Linked DNA regions of Schizosaccharomyces pombe. Changing the gene in region 2 together with the main gene of any one other region gives a genetic interaction. Each region holds a gene or a part of one and is shown on either strand. Other genes may lie near its edges.

Region 1 (5,095 bases), on a different chromosome or scaffold from region 2:
CAAACCAAAAGCCAAAGATGTGAAACTGAACGGCTCCAAATTAGAAATAGGCCAATTTTGATAGTTTAAAAAAAATATGTCGGAGGAAATAATATGCTGCATATTCACAAATTCAATTCCATTTAAACAATATCCAAATCAAAATTCCCAGTAAACATTTCAGTGCACGTTATAAGTTTCACGGGTTCCATCTCTTACCTTCGTAGCACATTCTACTGAATTAATTTTGCTAAGAAACACTTATTTGTTAGTAATACACCAGCACAAATAACCATACATTCTTTTTGGAGCTCCAGCAGTGTCATCTCAAAACGTCAATGTCCCGTATTCCTAAACGGAATAGCAAAAACTATACCTTTCAACACTTCAATGCTTACTCTTAAAACCAAGCAACGTCAAAAGAGTACGTGAAATTCGGATACGGTACAGAAATGCTGGTGGAATGTAAACGGTAGAATGATCGGATTACTGTAAATATGATCCACCTCGGTATTTATTCGGTAAGATTTGGTGTAGTAGCACAATAAATTTCAGTATATCTAGTGATTTAAATAAACTATTATTTTACAATATTATGAAGATTTCAAGTGTAGTTTTAATCATTAATATGGATTGTAAAAAAACAACAACTTATTATCACATTTCACCCTTCCATAGCTGCAAAGTGCAACTGCTTATTTACTATTTGCTGACCTACTCCTCGCATTGAATTCTGTACGAAAAAAGTAAATAATTTCAAAGTGAATAGGGTGTAAAGGAGTGAATGTCCATTATTCTTCATATATACAACCCATCGCATTGAAATTAGGCATAGTAATACGCGTATATAACGATTAGATATACATCTTCTACCATACCGCTAGTCCACCAACTAAAAAATAAGCAAATCCCATTTTGTCCTAGTTGGATTATATACAGTAGAACCATAAAGTGTCATACATTTGCATAGAAACAAATCCCGAGCACGAGAAAATTGCCGAAATTACCCTAATCCAAAATTTTTACGACTTTGCCAACTGCAACCGTAGTACCCTGATCACGCAAAGTGAAACGGCCCATATACTGATAGTCCTCAAACCTTTCCATACAAACCGGAGTTTGTGTTTCCAACTCTGCAATAATTTTCATACCCTTGGTAGCAAACATGGGGGGTTTCTTGCTTTTGCGGTTTGTTTTGTCAAGTTTATGGAGCAACTTGGCAAATGAAACTTCCTCGACAGCGGTATGAATGTGCATTACACAAGAATAACCAGTTGTCAAAATTGAAGGCAACTCAAGGATCGCAATTTGTGCAATGAAACGAGTAGTAGCATGAACTGGGTTTTTAGTGGATGTTAAAACATAACCAGTTTGGACATCCGAATCGTCACCACGGACACGGAGACGAACTTGGTCACCGCAAATAGAAGAAGAGATTTCTTCATCAGCTTCATCATATATGGCTGTAACTTCAAGGGTTTGATTAATTGGCATAACCAATACGTTTGAATTTTTCTTAATCGAACCAGCCTCAATCTTTCCTTCTAAGATGGTACCCAAATCTTTATACTTGGAGGCAATAGGCATGATGAATGGAGCATTCACTTTGCGTTCCAAATGAGTCATAGAATCCAAGTATTCTAGCAAAGATGGACCTTGATACCACGGGCAAACCGAACTGTCAACACGATCCTTAACGTTTTGACCAGTGTAAGCAGAAACGGGCATATATTTAACATCAGTCTTTGAGTTGTATCCAGCGACACGACGCAAAAACATGCTGAGCTTATCGACACATTCCTTATAACGCTCCTCCGACCACTGAACGCTAGGTTCGTCCATTTTATTAATAACGACAACTAGATGATTGATGCCTTGTGTACGAGCCAATACGGCATGTTCACGAGTTTGACCACCGCGCTCAAAACCAGCTTCAAACTCACCACGACGCGCTGAAATGACTAAAACACCAATATCAGCTTGAGAAGCACCATTAATCATGTTTGTAACGTAACCTTTATGACCCGGAGCATCCAACAAGCTAAAGCGACGGTGTTCGGTTTCAAAGTAAGCACGACCAACTTCAACGGTTTTACCTTTTTCACGTTCTTCAGAAGTGCTGTCCAAAGCCCAAGAAAGATACCAACTTTCTTTACCAGCTTCTTTAGCTTCTCTCTCTATTTTCTCCATAGTACGCTTGTCAACCATACCAGTCAAGAAAAGAATATTACCACCCAGGGTAGACTTTCCTGCATCAACATGACCTATAAAAACAATATTGACATGTTCCTTTCCATACATATCCTTCAAAAGCTCTTGATCAACCTCATTTTGTAAATCGGTGGCATCCTCAGTGACAGTGGCGGGTTCAGCTGCCTCAGCAGCTTTCTTAAGAGCCGCTGCTGGAGCAGAGGGTGTTTTTGCTAGTTCAGCATCAGCAGATTTTGTAGGAGTTTCCTGGGGAGGAGGAGCAGCGGTCTCCTTCTTTGTTGACTCAGAGGTAACCTTGGGTGCAGGGGTCTCTGTTTTGCTTTGTGCAGCAGGTGCTGCTGGTTTGGTAGTTGTAGGAGCTTTTGTTCCACCAAGGCTGATGCTAATGGGCTTTGTAGACTTAGGAGCAGAGGTGTTTCCACCCAGGGACAAAACCTTTCCTTTGGGAATTGCTGGTTTAGGAGGCACAAAACTCTTCTTTTTAGAAAAATCAGGGACACGGCTTTTATCTTCATCAACAGTGTTTCCTGTTGGCTTTTGGTAGTATTGCTGATAACTCTTCGTAGGATGTGGCGAGTTGCTGTTTTGTCCTTGGCCTGTATATTGGGCATAAGGATAACCACCAGCAATATTGTTCACAGGTACAAATCCGGGGCCTAGCAAGAAGTTAATAATTTTTTTACTTAAAACAAGCAATCATCTCAAGACATATGGATGGTGTTCTAATTAAAAAACGTACGTTGGAAAGAAGGAATGAAGGGAGCAGCTTTAGGCGTAAACGTAGGTGCCTTTGCAGACATCGACAGTTTAGAAGTCTGCTTGGCGAGTTGCTCATCCTGTTCACCGTTATTTGGCTGATTACTAGCCATTTTTTGCCTTTATTAAAATATGTGGTAAAGGGACGGTGATGTTGAAGAGAATTTACACCACAGTATACACTGTGTATTCTTTTATAATATAATATTACGAGTACTTACGATGATATTATTAGCATCCTTTATATAAGCTTGTGCTATAGTAATTCAGTTAAGTTCATAAAATATTATATTTGAGTTTAATTTTACATTTGGTTGTAAAATCGGAAGCAACTGAATTGTAAATTGGTCATTTTCTCGCTTTTTTCTTCAGTAATACGCTATTATTGTCTTAAACAGGTAAAATATATTGACTTGCCTTGGGAGATAAAAAACAGAAACTTCGGTGGGCTTAATACCAAACACAACATTTATTAGCTATTGGGTTGAACAATTAATCAAAAGTTTTTAAATCTATTGGTTAATTAGTCTCCATTGTCACCAATAATCACTGCAAGGATTTTGTCATGGAAGAAACGATGAATCAGCGTTACAGCTTCAAAATATATACCAAGCAAGTTCCAAAAGATTCAATATGTAAATCCATTATATAATTATTCACTTTAGGATTTCCTTATACAAAATTCTATAGGCGTGTTTGGATATTAAACTTCTATCCTCCACATATCACTATGACTTAGCGCAAGTTCTATTTGGTTCTCAATTTACTACGCTTCTTTTTATTTCGTTATTAATTTGTTGTTAAAAGGAATAAATACAATTTGAATGACCATTATTTATTTGTTTAGCCTTGTTTTCTCTTGTGTTTTTTAAAGCCGCCTTTTTAGAAATGGATGAATTACTTAATGTAGCTTCTCATGCTGCGACATTTGCTACGAACTTCGCGTTGAAACATAGTATATCATTTGCAGGAAAATTAGCTGTTCAGCAAGTTAGCAGCTATATTAAACGTGCCTCTGCAGATGATCAAAGTGAATTGGAGTCTGTGAAAACTCAACTGCTTGAAATGATTCGAGTTGTGACGCCTGCTATCGAACTAATTGAAATAATGTCAGTCGGTGAAAATGAAAATTTTAAGAGTACTAAGCAATTAGTGGATTCTTTGCACGCTGACATCGAACAATTCACCAAGCATGTTTTAAGCGCCGCTCATTCGGAATTTCCGCCTTCCTCAGAAAAAGAAACTTTGCAGAAGAACGTTGATACGTCTATTCTTCGTGAAATGAAAACTTTACTTCTCAAAATTAATGATGCAGTTCCTCTCTTAAATCTGTCCATCACTACTTCTGGTGCTTCTATTTCATCTTCTCTTCCAAAATCTACTTCATTTTCCCAACTTCTACGAGCTAATTCATACATATATAGGGCGAATGTTGCATTTACTGGAAATGAACCTTTACAAGTTGGCCCCACATTTTTCCTGCGAACTTATAAAATTATAGATAACCACGCCAAGTCTGGTTATATAAGCAATGATTTAGTCATGTGGAAAGAAGAGATGCCTGTTTGTATCGCCAAAATGTTTCGCATGCCTCCTCAACGGTTGAAGTCCAAGGATACGGTTCTAGCCTATGCTTTATCTTTAAAACAATCTTTTGATGATGATCGTTACCATGATGAAGATGAGACTCCTGTCACCAAAACCATTTCACTAAATGATGTGCGCACGCTTTTTTTTAGTTTGTCCGGTAAACTTCTTCGGTTAGATGATGTACAAACTCCCGTATTATTACTCAAGTATGCAGATGATGAAACAGAGTATTCTTCAAATACAGCACCTTCGAACTGGATAGCTTTAGAAGCACTTCCTTTGGTATCAATACCTAATGAATCATTAGACGAATCTGATGAACTTGCAGAATCTCTTAGTGATTCTGAAGCTGCTAGGCTACAGCTTTTAGGCATCAAAAAACAAGAATCCGTTGCAAAGAAAAAGTCTTCCTTTCCATCGACTATAAAAGATCAACCTAATTTAACTTTACTGGAGTATTTGATTAGATTATGCGCGCTCGAAAGTACTACCCAAGAATCAGTTTTACAATTACCTGACGAACAAATTGCATTGTATCTTAAAGATTATCAAGGAAGAG
Region 2 (4,327 bases):
GAAGTTTGTCAAAAACTGAAACAATGTAAAATGGAAAGTTCTAATAATGTCGGTTCTACAAAGTTGGCAGCGTTAGTTTTTGCTGAGATTATAGACGCTTTTATAAGTCATATTTCTTATAAAACTATGGTTTTTTCCCTCATTCTTGTATTTGGAAGTCTACTAACATCCAATTACGCCTTTGGTCTTTATAGAGCTAGACATTCTCAAAATATCCACGATTATGCTGCCAACGCTATCCCGGCGATGATACCGTCCAGTAGATTCCTTCCTTCCAATCTTTCTGATATTTCCAATAGAAACCTTATCGAAGCTGCCTCTCAGGAGGAAGAAATTTGAACGTCTTCATTTTTCTACTAACCTCATTTTTCTTAAAATCATTTTTCATCACTTTCATTTATATCATTACTTTGAACGTTATTGGTATGCTTTCTAATTTGGCATACAAATTTCGTTATTCGGATTCATTTTCTTTTATAATTTTGTTAATTTAGCTGTTCATTGTATCGTATTGCTTTGTTTCTCACAAGGGTGAGCCAATTAATATTCTAACTTTGAATTTCTTTTTTGGAAAAATGCATTATTTATAAGCCTTTTAAACTGTAGTATATTAGTAAATTAAGCAAACTAAGCTTTTAAAACGGAGAATGATTGAATGAACTGTACATCTTTTCATTCAAACATTCAATGTTTGATTTTTATTTGTTAGACATAATTATTCAGATAATGGCGATGGCTATTCACACGGCAGAGAGTTTATTTTTTGTATATGGCAGTTGTGTTCTGAGTCCACATAAATATCACACCAATGGAATCCGAGCTTGTACGACTTCAAATCCAGGTATATTGGAAATTCCATTTCTTTTTGGAATAATTCTTTAAAGCCGGAAATCATAGACGCAAAATATGAAACACAATTCGGTCGTAAAGCTGCCCAAAAACTATTCCTTAAACAGTCAATTACCTCCATTTTTGCTGTTAATGGATTTACTTCCGGCAAGACCAAACTGGTATTTAAATCAGATTGGCGGGTTAAATCTATCATTCAATTAGTATTTCGTAAAACAAGCAACCCTTACTCGCTACAAATCCGGTGATCACCAAAGTTAACGGTTGAATTTTTAAATGCCCAGAAACACCTGAAAAAAGGTTGGAGAACTTGCATAAATCATTTCTCAAAAAGTTTGAGGATAACGGGTTCTCCAAGTTTGACACTAAAATAAATCAATATTCAATCCCATAAATTTACCATTTCTTACGAATTTCAGTCGTTGTGTCACTAACGCATGAATAATCACTTAGATTGTCAGAAGAATGATTGATTGGGCTAATGCATAGCAAATCTCCAATATAGGTATCCTTGAAATAATGCTTTTGAGAATTGGAATACAATATCTTCACTCGCTGACCATTGTTATCCAGTACAAGAAAATTTGAATTAACGGCAGCTAAGCGTCCCACTTGCCAGGAGTCGCATTTTTTTTCTTCAAAGTCATTCTCACTTAAAATTACCAAAATACCGATCATTCCATCCTGCCAGTTGGTACTGCCTTCCCAAACGGTACTCCAAAATGGAATAAGTAGGTATTGTTGCTTGTCTAGCAGCTTAGGGAAATCATGGTAAGTCCCTGAGAAATGTATAAAATTGGTATTGTTGTCTATAAGAAAAGCACCTTTTTTGTCTAAAGAAATGATGCGACCCAATTCCACAGTAATTCGTTTCACACCTTGATCACTTTTGCTTATAGTAATATCACGTATTTGAAAGAATTCATGTTCAGTTGATTCAACCATTGATTTCACAAAACTTTTTGATGCAGCATATTGCAATACTGGAACAAAGCTAGTTGTAGGAAGGAAACGTATTTGCTTTCGTAAATACCATTTTTGATGGATGCGTGACTGAGAAAAGCGTAAAGTTGACTAAATAAAGGTCTTAGATAATCACTGTTATAAAGGAGATGATATTCAAAAACCTTACACCTTTCAAAATGTTAAATGGTTCATGGAAGAGTAAATAAAAACTGGAATGCAAAATCATTTCGCACGTATTCTCCTCACTATCTTTCAGCTTCAAAGACGGTATTGGGGTATAATAATAATCATAGCAATGAAAATGAAACTGGTCTTCCAAATAAATAACTGCATCTGATTTCGTTAACCATTCCAAAGAAGAAAAAACTGTTTACAAAAAAGGAGGTCAATATCTCTTTATACCAAAAAAAAAAGTAAACTTTCTCGTTACCATTGTCCAATTTATTTCTCTCCGAGCACTACGTTCATGCATGTCAGATTTTATCGACTTGTAGAGTAAGTAGATTCCTTACCGCTAATTCAATCTCGTTAATTAAAATGGGATAGCTAAACCCTGAGGGATACTCCTTTAACAAGCTGATAGTTTTGTTTATTAACCTAAATTGTCAGTAGCCACTCTTTACATATGCGTTAACTTTTAGCATCTACTCACCAGTAATCAGTGAATGCTGGTTGTTTAGATTTCTCAACTAAGCGGTTTTCTAGATCTTCTTTTATTTTTTTAATCAGACCTGGAAAATCCATATAATCATTAAATTTACTACTGCTCTAAGATTAGTAGTTGATAGAATATAGATAATTGACAGCTGCCTAAATACTCCATTTAGTATCATCTGTTTTTATACTGTTACGCCTAATGATATTGAACAATACTTATAAAATTTTTACAATTTAAAAACTTGTTTGCTGTCATTATTTTTGTTATTTCATATCACAATCGAAATTTTAAGTAAGAAGACACAATAAACAGCATATAACCAAATATAATATTTAATTCATTTAAAACAGATATCTATCCGGTTTTGGGATGCTTGTCAAAAAAGATGAAACATCTAGCAAACAAAAAAGCATATGCTTGTAAAATATTAAAACAAACTTAAAACTACCCATCTAGAGAAGGAATGCACTCGTAAAATTAAATTGTTTTCTTATTATCTTCTACTAAGAAGAACCAACGTGCGATGAACGTAGCCTGGCGGGTTAGTAAACGATTAACGAAATAAGGAATTTACTATATTGACATACCGTTGAGATTGTTCTTGGAGAAGTAAATTCATAATAATAAGGGACAGCACCAGGTACAACAAAATTTTTAATCAATGATGCCTTTTCGGATGATTCTCTATCATTACTGTCGCTAACCGGATTGACATCTCCAGCATGTAATGTCATCATAGGAATAGTGGATTGATTTGTCCACACTAAATTTTGAATAGAACGGGGACACAGAGCAAAAATGCCTTTTACAGAGTTTGGTCGAATGTGTTTTAGACTCTCAAGAGCGACAGACGCACCAGTATCTTCACCTAGGAAAAAAATACGTTCTGGATCTGCATCATAATAGATGGCATTCTCTACTATCCAATCTACACACAAAGATACAAATTCGACGGCATCGGAAAGGGGAAATTTTGGAGGCTGGGCGTAATTGGGAACCACTACGAAGAAGCCTAAAGATGAAAGGTAGGGAATGATAATGCTTTCGGATTTCTTAGCACCACAAACCCAAACAATAACAGAAGATGCGGATGCAGATTTTGGAGGTGAATAAGCGTTTAATAAAAGGTGACTTTTGTAAACGAGACGCTCAGCATTATTTTTGGCTAAAAGCCAGTTAGGAAGATAAGAGATGTATGGGTAGCGTTTGACGGTTGTCCCATGTAAATCATTGATAAATAACCTACTGAAGCATTTTGCAAGTGAGCTATTTTTTTGCTGATCGCGGTTACCGATGCTTGGTTCAAGAGATGCGGGTAATTCAGACTCGAGTTTTCGGGCGGCAAGTACATTAACAGCGGCCAAAGCAAACAAGGATCCAAGGCCAAGCATATCAACAAAAAATATTTTGTCGTAGAAAGAAGAAAATTGGGCACCCATACGCTCAGCAATTATAGTAGCAACGAACTTAACGCTTGCCGCTTCTAAGCTTTTCTCTGAAACAAAAGCAAAAAAAGAAGCAACATTTGATTCAGATGCACCGATGACTATCTTGGACAACAACTTAACCAAAAATTTGCGAACTTCCAGCTGGTATGCTGAAAGAATCACAAAAGATGAAAGTACTACCCAAATAGAATAAAGAATCGTCGCAAACCCCATTACTACATGGAATGATTTTTGTCTCAATACTAAATTGGTTAATATAATGTGTGAAAAATAAAATAATTTCAGTAAATAATCATGTCTGTTTTCGTTCTGATGACTTTCAATTGAAGAAATTACGAAGTCCACATTGGGAGAAAAAGCATAAATACGAACCAACCCTCAAGACCCCTGCACGGTAATCATCGTG
Region 3 (5,912 bases), on a different chromosome or scaffold from region 2:
ATAGGAATTTCTAGAGAATCCAAACGTTCACCAGTCATGGGTACGCAGACATACCCACTATTTATTAGCATTTCAAACAATTCCATGTCGTTTTGCATACCTAGAATGCCTGACTAAGAATGCCATTTGTTCGGTAGTAACTTTGCAACCTGCAATAATCAGATCTCCTTCGTTTTCACGCGTTTCATCGTCTAACACTATTAAAAACTTTCCATCCCCTTGTCATGATATTAGCGTTTTATCTTTTTAAAAAGAAATATGCTTACGAAAGTCATTCACTGCTTCCTCAATTGATGCAAGCATTCTGGTATTTGGCAGCTTTTCAGATGCTCTCTGCTAAGTTTACTAAGCACTTAGCTCACCATAACTCTGATAGTTAACACAGCAATGTAGCGTACTTAGATGAAACGATATAATTATTAATAATAAAAATAATTTTATACATTTTAAACCGCCTGTCAATTAGCTTTTATTTTACTGACTCAATTACAAATGATATGGTTCACGATAGCTTTATTGAAAATACCACTCACCGAATTTTTAAATCTAACCTTGCAAATACGGTCATGCTAAATATGATATAATATATCTTATAAACATTAAAGTATGTAACGGACAAAAGAACACACATTTAAGATTAAGAAAATTTGAGCATATCTTACCAGAACTGTAAAATCCACCAAAAAATCTATATTATTTACTATTGTTGCAAAGTAATTGAAAAGTATTCGCAAATTTCACTTACTCAGCAATATAATCCCGATAACTCATATACAATCCGTAAAAGTAATATTTTCAGAGCTTTTTAAGCTGTCTTTTTTCTGGATCGGCGACTGGTTGAGCTAGAAGAGGACGCTTCAGCCTTTGCCTTAGTCCTTTTTTTAGGTTTCTTTGGTACCGAAATAAATTTGTCTTTGCTTAAATCTATGTCCTCTTCATTAGCAGCCTCTGAGTCACTAGCTTCTTCTAACATCTCATCTTCGGCTTCAATTGCATCTTCGACATCCGGCACTTCGCGCTGAGCAGAGCCCTTCATAGGTAAAACATCACTACTTCCAAAGAAGGCGATGGGGTGACTCGAAGAATTGTATTTTCTTGTGAATGCAGATTTTGCAGCAGTCGGTATGGTTTTCATGAGTTTCTCACCTGCATCTGCAGGAAGAACTAATTCCGTTATTGAATCAAAATCTTCACGATTTAGATAATATTCATCCATCAATTCAATGATTTCTGGAACGACGTCTGAATGGCCTGTTGATAGCTTTACAGGCAGAGACTCATACAATATTGGAATATAATGCTGCCGCAAGTCCAATTTATTAGCGGATACTTTTAAACGCATGTGTACTTGTATCTCACGAAGCATACGATATAATTTATTTGTCTTCGAGTTATTACCCAACCAATTAGTAAAGCGAATCTGCCTGGAACCGGAACCAGCCACGAAAGAAGCAGGTCGCACGCAAGACATAAGAGCATGGGTTGGCATAAGTGACCAGTGTTGTTGAGGACCATGAATCATTGAATCAACAAGATCAGAGTCGGAAAAGGAGTTAGCAGCACTAGATATTAATTCTAAATGCTTCAAATGTGACATTTTCGGTGGTTCTTGACGAATTCTATCTGGTGTAGTATTAAGGTAGTTTTCTTGAACCATAAGATAAGAAAATTCGTGATCATTAAAATACAGCTCTAATTTATCATTAATGGTGGACTTGCTTGATGGATGAAACATTCCTCCATGTAAGTAACGACTACAGATATCCCATGGTTTCATAACGATATGCTTTTCAGAATTTTTAATAACAGCTTGGCTATTTTGAGGTGTCATTTCTGAACAGCTTAACTTGTAAGTGGATAGCAAATTAATAATTTGGCGCATATCGGACTGCGTCCCCTGAACCAGTTGATCGACTGCTTGTGGTGACAATTTGAGACCTTCACGATACGCTATAGACATTATTCGGGATCGCATTGAATTAGCATCTGGCCGACGGAAACGGAGGTCAAACGTAGTACGGTCAAGGGGCCGCAGCTTTGGATGAGCACGGTCATTGCAAATACAAATAATTGGTATCATGCTTTTTTTAATAATCATATTCAACTGACCAACGCCTCCACGATCACCCGATGACATGCCATCGATTTCGTCCATAATGAGTACAAGTCGGGACTTTGCCATGTCAACGGGGTTAGCTTTTGTGCCAAAGTAGCCGGCAAGTGATTGACTATCTGTCACACCGAACAGCTGCTCATCTAGCAAGCGCTTGCTTCTAGTGTCACTAGCGTTCAGTTCCAAAACATCGTAACCTTCTAATTTTGCTACCAAATGAGCAGCAGTCGTCTTGCCAATACCTGGAGGACCAGAGAGTAATACGGCTTTGTATAGACCCAGACCATCAGGTCCAGGTTTATTAAAGTTGGACTTCCTGTTTTTGTGGTAATCCTGTAGCCACTTTTGAAGTTTTTGAACGACACCCTTATTACCACAAATATCCTTTAAAGAAGTTGGCGCATATTTTGAAGTCCATATCTGTGAAGGTTGTGATTCCTTTTTATTACTATCGTCCATTCTCGCAACAGTTTCAAGGATTTTCTTTTCTTCTTGTTCCTTTTTCTGTTGAGCAGCCTGAGCCGCAGCACCCGTTCCTCCTGAAGCAGGAAGATGAGTTATAAGATAGAAGAGTCCATCCTCGTTAATAGCAGGAATCTTGTGTTGTTTAATTGTTTCCACTTTTCTTGGACCAGCATTCTCACCTAAGAGAATAAAGTCTGTTCTAACAGAAGGTGCACCTGTCACTTTTCCACCATATTGTTTGATCAGGTCTGTAGCCTCTTGTCTAGTTAAAGTCTCTAGAATTCCTGTAATAACAAAGCTAATTCCCGAGAGACAATCGCTATTGCCTTCAGGGACGGGTTTTGAGCCTGGAGTTTGTGTTGTAGCCGCCCGTTCATAGAAAGTACCTGGAGCCATCACACCCATAGAGTCTACGTCAATTAAAGGAACATTTTTGAGGGCTTGGGAAACTTCGTCTGAGAACCTAGGTAAGCCTTTCGACTTGCTAGAACGACTTGTGTGAGTTGTCGCAGTTGTGGTATGAGATTTTGACTTTGAAGTTGTCGATTTTTCTGCTTTAGGTTGAGCAGGTTTACGTGTAGCTCTAGTTTGATGGACAACTGGCTTACTGTCTGAAGTGGTATCCAAGTCATTGGCAAAATTTTCTGTTTTTACAGGATGTACGACATCTTTGGAAGTAGTAGTTTCTTTATTGGAGATAATCCGCGGTTTAGAACGTGACCGAGTAGACTGTTGTTCAAAGTACTCATCAGGTGTAGTTGAAACTCCATCTGAACCGACACTAAACAAAAATTCAAATTAGCGAACAACGCATAATGAGGTAAAAGTAAAATAAACATACAGTTTATCGTCTTCATGAACAATGGATGGCAAAGAATGGGAAATATCTTCCGACTCATTACTAGTTGGAGGGTTAGAAATATAAACTGATAACCCGAATTAAACGAACCGTTTTTGCACTTTGCTTTTGGATGCAGGAACTTTTGAATTCTCTATTGTACCATCTTCATCATCTGATAAAACGATTCTTTTTTTCTTCAAACTCCTTTTTGGTTTTGGGGAAGTAGGCTAGACAAAGACGTTAGAAAATGAATGACTAGCTTATCAAATTTGACTGATTGAAGAAACAAACATACAGTCGGTGAGACTTTTGGCTTTTTTTGAGCGTTCCCTCCTCCAAAGAAGCTTCGAATGTCAGAATTACTCATTTCCGACGATGAATAACAATTACCCAATTCCTGAGAAGCTACTGTCTAACTTCCAAAAAAGCAGTGTATGTATGTATATTGGGCGACAATAGCAAGGAATGTGACAATTTGCCAAAAGCAGAGAGTTAACAAAGCTTCGTTAAAACATTCGTAAATGAGTAAATTAAGGAATAGTAAGGAGAGTGTAAAAAATTGATTGTGGGCGTTCGTTATTTAATCTCGTAAAATGAGTCGTGGAGGAAGAAAAGTGGGCTCTTTTACAGTACTATTTTGATTGTGCATTTGTTACGAGACTAATAAACGTTCGTCAATACGAATGAAGAAATCCAAGTTGTATGGTTATTATTAAGGTAAAGCTGAAGCCAGCGGCTTGAGAAATTATCGAATATAAGAGTTTAGTGGTGTTCGACAATGACAGAATGTGATGTGCAAATGTACATGCCAGTGAATGTAGTTCAATCCGGAACTGACTTTGAGTGCATTGTAAAATTCACGAATCTAAGGAGTTCAGAAGATGTAAATTTACTTTTGTGCTATGCTTCTATCCATGGTGAAATGTACCTTGACTATGTACTGGTGCGCGTTACAGAATTCGATGAGGTTCAGAGGCAGGGGCTCTTAAACAAAAGGACAATGAGCGGATTAGTACATATTCCCAAGGTATCCAGCAGTTATTCTGTTATTAATACTCTGAACGGGATGATTGGAAATTTATTTGGAGTTAAACAAGCAAGTACATTGACAGAGGCCTCAGGTATGTAATGGTGAAAGGGTGCAAAAGGAAATAAAGACTTGGTAAAAAAAATCTCTCAATTGGCTTACATTTGGAGGGAAGATATAGCTCGGAAGAGTGCTTATACGGTGAGGTGGACATAAAGTCAATTGACGAATTACAGAAAGGTTGTCTGGGAAGAGTTTTGTAATTCATTTGAAACATATTTACTCTTTATTCAATTTTTTTTTTTTTTTTTTTTTTTTTTGGAAGATGGTTACTCTTATTTTTACTGCAACCTACTGCTTAAGCATGAATACTAACCGATAAAGAACAAAAGCAGGAAAATGCCATTCCAGTGCTACTGACTCGTCCAGATATATTAGGAGTCGATATCACGCTTTCTCCTGGAGAGGAAAAATGCTTTCGGTTGAAGCGAAGAATTCCCCTTCGAACAGCACCTACATATAAAGGATTGGCCTTTCGATTTCAACACGCACTGGTCATAGGAGTCCAATCAGCTACCAACAATGCTTGTGTAGAGCATGAATTTGAAATTACTATAGTACCCAACGTTCAACAGCAACCTGAACTGCCACTCGGAAAGAATTCGGGAAACAGACAATCCTCGAAGCTGTTTGCAGATTTATCCAAACCGATTATTGAAACAGATGCGGCAGAAATTGAAGAGGTTTCAGCAGAGAAAGCACGTAGGCAATTCGGTAAAAACGGTATACGACTTTCGCAGGATGCGCAGGAGGAAGAGAAGCAAAAAAAGAAATACGAGCAACACATAAAAAAGCTACTTGATGGAGAGTCTAATGAAGAGGGAGGAGGAGAATTCCAAGATCATGGAATGAGGTCAGAGATCAATGAAGAAGTATTAGAGGAAGAGGATGAAGAAAAAATTGCGTTGTTAAAAAAACTCGAATCCAAGCAACCAATGGCCACGAGGTTTGAGATTACAAGCAAACAAAAAGTGTTATGTCGATTGCTTTTGAGCAAAAGCAGATATCGGACAGGAGAGATGATGATGATTGAGCTAGAAGGACTGGACGCGATGGTTCGACAAGTGCATATGCAACTTGAAAGTGTGGAGCGTATTGTGCCAGACATCCGTATACGCAACAGCGTAGGGACGGAGAGGGCGACGCGAAAAGTGTGGTGTAGAATTACACGGGGAGTGTTTGAGTTGGAAAACATGAGCGCTTCGATGGTTGTGCCGGAGGAATGTCCGGAAACATTTGAAACACAGCAATTTGGAGTGGAACACTTTTTGCGGGTGGAATTGTTAAGGGCGGTGAACAAGAAACGTGAGATGCAGGGACCGGCGCATCCCCGATATAGTGAAGAGGTGCAGAGTCCGAGTCGATCGAGATACAGTGAAGAAGTACAGAGGGTGAGTGAAGGTAGA

What was found.
Region 1: of cdc24 (region 2) and sup35, a mutation in one rescues a mutant of the other (synthetic rescue), as found in Schizosaccharomyces pombe (one study listed by BioGRID).
Region 3: of cdc24 (region 2) and rfc1, extra expression of one rescues a mutant of the other (dosage rescue), as found in Schizosaccharomyces pombe (one study listed by BioGRID).

Annotation. Positions count from the first base shown.
Region 1 is NC_003421.2:1,533,417-1,538,511, reverse strand, and holds sup35 (eRF3-like class 2 translation release factor sup35), read right to left. Parts: upstream 3,114-5,095; 5' UTR 3,060-3,113; coding exon 2,930-3,059; exon of another isoform or gene 2,896-2,929; intron 2,847-2,895; coding exon 988-2,846; 3' UTR 501-987; downstream 1-500. Other genes in the region: SNARE-binding protein Sec1, read right to left, coding at 199-239, 278-305; SPOM_SPCC584.03C (GTPase regulator), read left to right, coding at 3,835-5,095. UniProt on the Schizosaccharomyces pombe protein: GTPase component of the eRF1-eRF3-GTP ternary complex, a ternary complex that mediates translation termination in response to the termination codons.
Region 2 is NC_003424.3:2,863,229-2,867,555, forward strand, and holds cdc24 (DNA replication protein Cdc24), read right to left. Parts: upstream 2,599-4,327; 5' UTR 2,560-2,598; coding exon 2,468-2,559; exon of another isoform or gene 2,413-2,467; coding exon 2,328-2,412; exon of another isoform or gene 2,274-2,327; coding exon 2,246-2,273; exon of another isoform or gene 2,182-2,245; coding exon 1,982-2,181; intron 1,924-1,981; coding exon 1,260-1,923; intron 1,215-1,259; coding exon 1,080-1,214; intron 1,039-1,079; coding exon 737-1,038; 3' UTR 502-736; downstream 1-501. Other genes in the region: brr6 (nuclear envelope protein Brr6/Brl1), read left to right, coding at 1-339; SPOM_SPAC8F11.08C (esterase/lipase), read right to left, coding at 2,951-3,007, 3,061-4,134. UniProt on the Schizosaccharomyces pombe protein: Has a role in the progression of DNA replication and in the maintenance of genomic integrity. Acts during S phase, after initiation, where it is essential for completion.
Region 3 is NC_003423.3:3,852,157-3,858,068, forward strand, and holds rfc1 (DNA replication factor C complex subunit Rfc1), read right to left. Parts: upstream 3,867-5,912; 5' UTR 3,787-3,866; coding exon 3,715-3,786; exon of another isoform or gene 3,647-3,714; coding exon 3,528-3,646; exon of another isoform or gene 3,480-3,527; coding exon 3,420-3,479; exon of another isoform or gene 3,360-3,419; coding exon 806-3,359; 3' UTR 501-805; downstream 1-500. Other genes in the region: rib3 (3,4-dihydroxy-2-butanone 4-phosphate synthase), read right to left, coding at 1-57, 101-218, 267-303; rgp1 (protein sat1), read left to right, coding at 4,198-4,540, 4,831-5,912. UniProt on the Schizosaccharomyces pombe protein: The elongation of primed DNA templates by DNA polymerase delta and epsilon requires the action of the accessory proteins PCNA and activator 1. Subunit 1 is essential for cell cycle progression.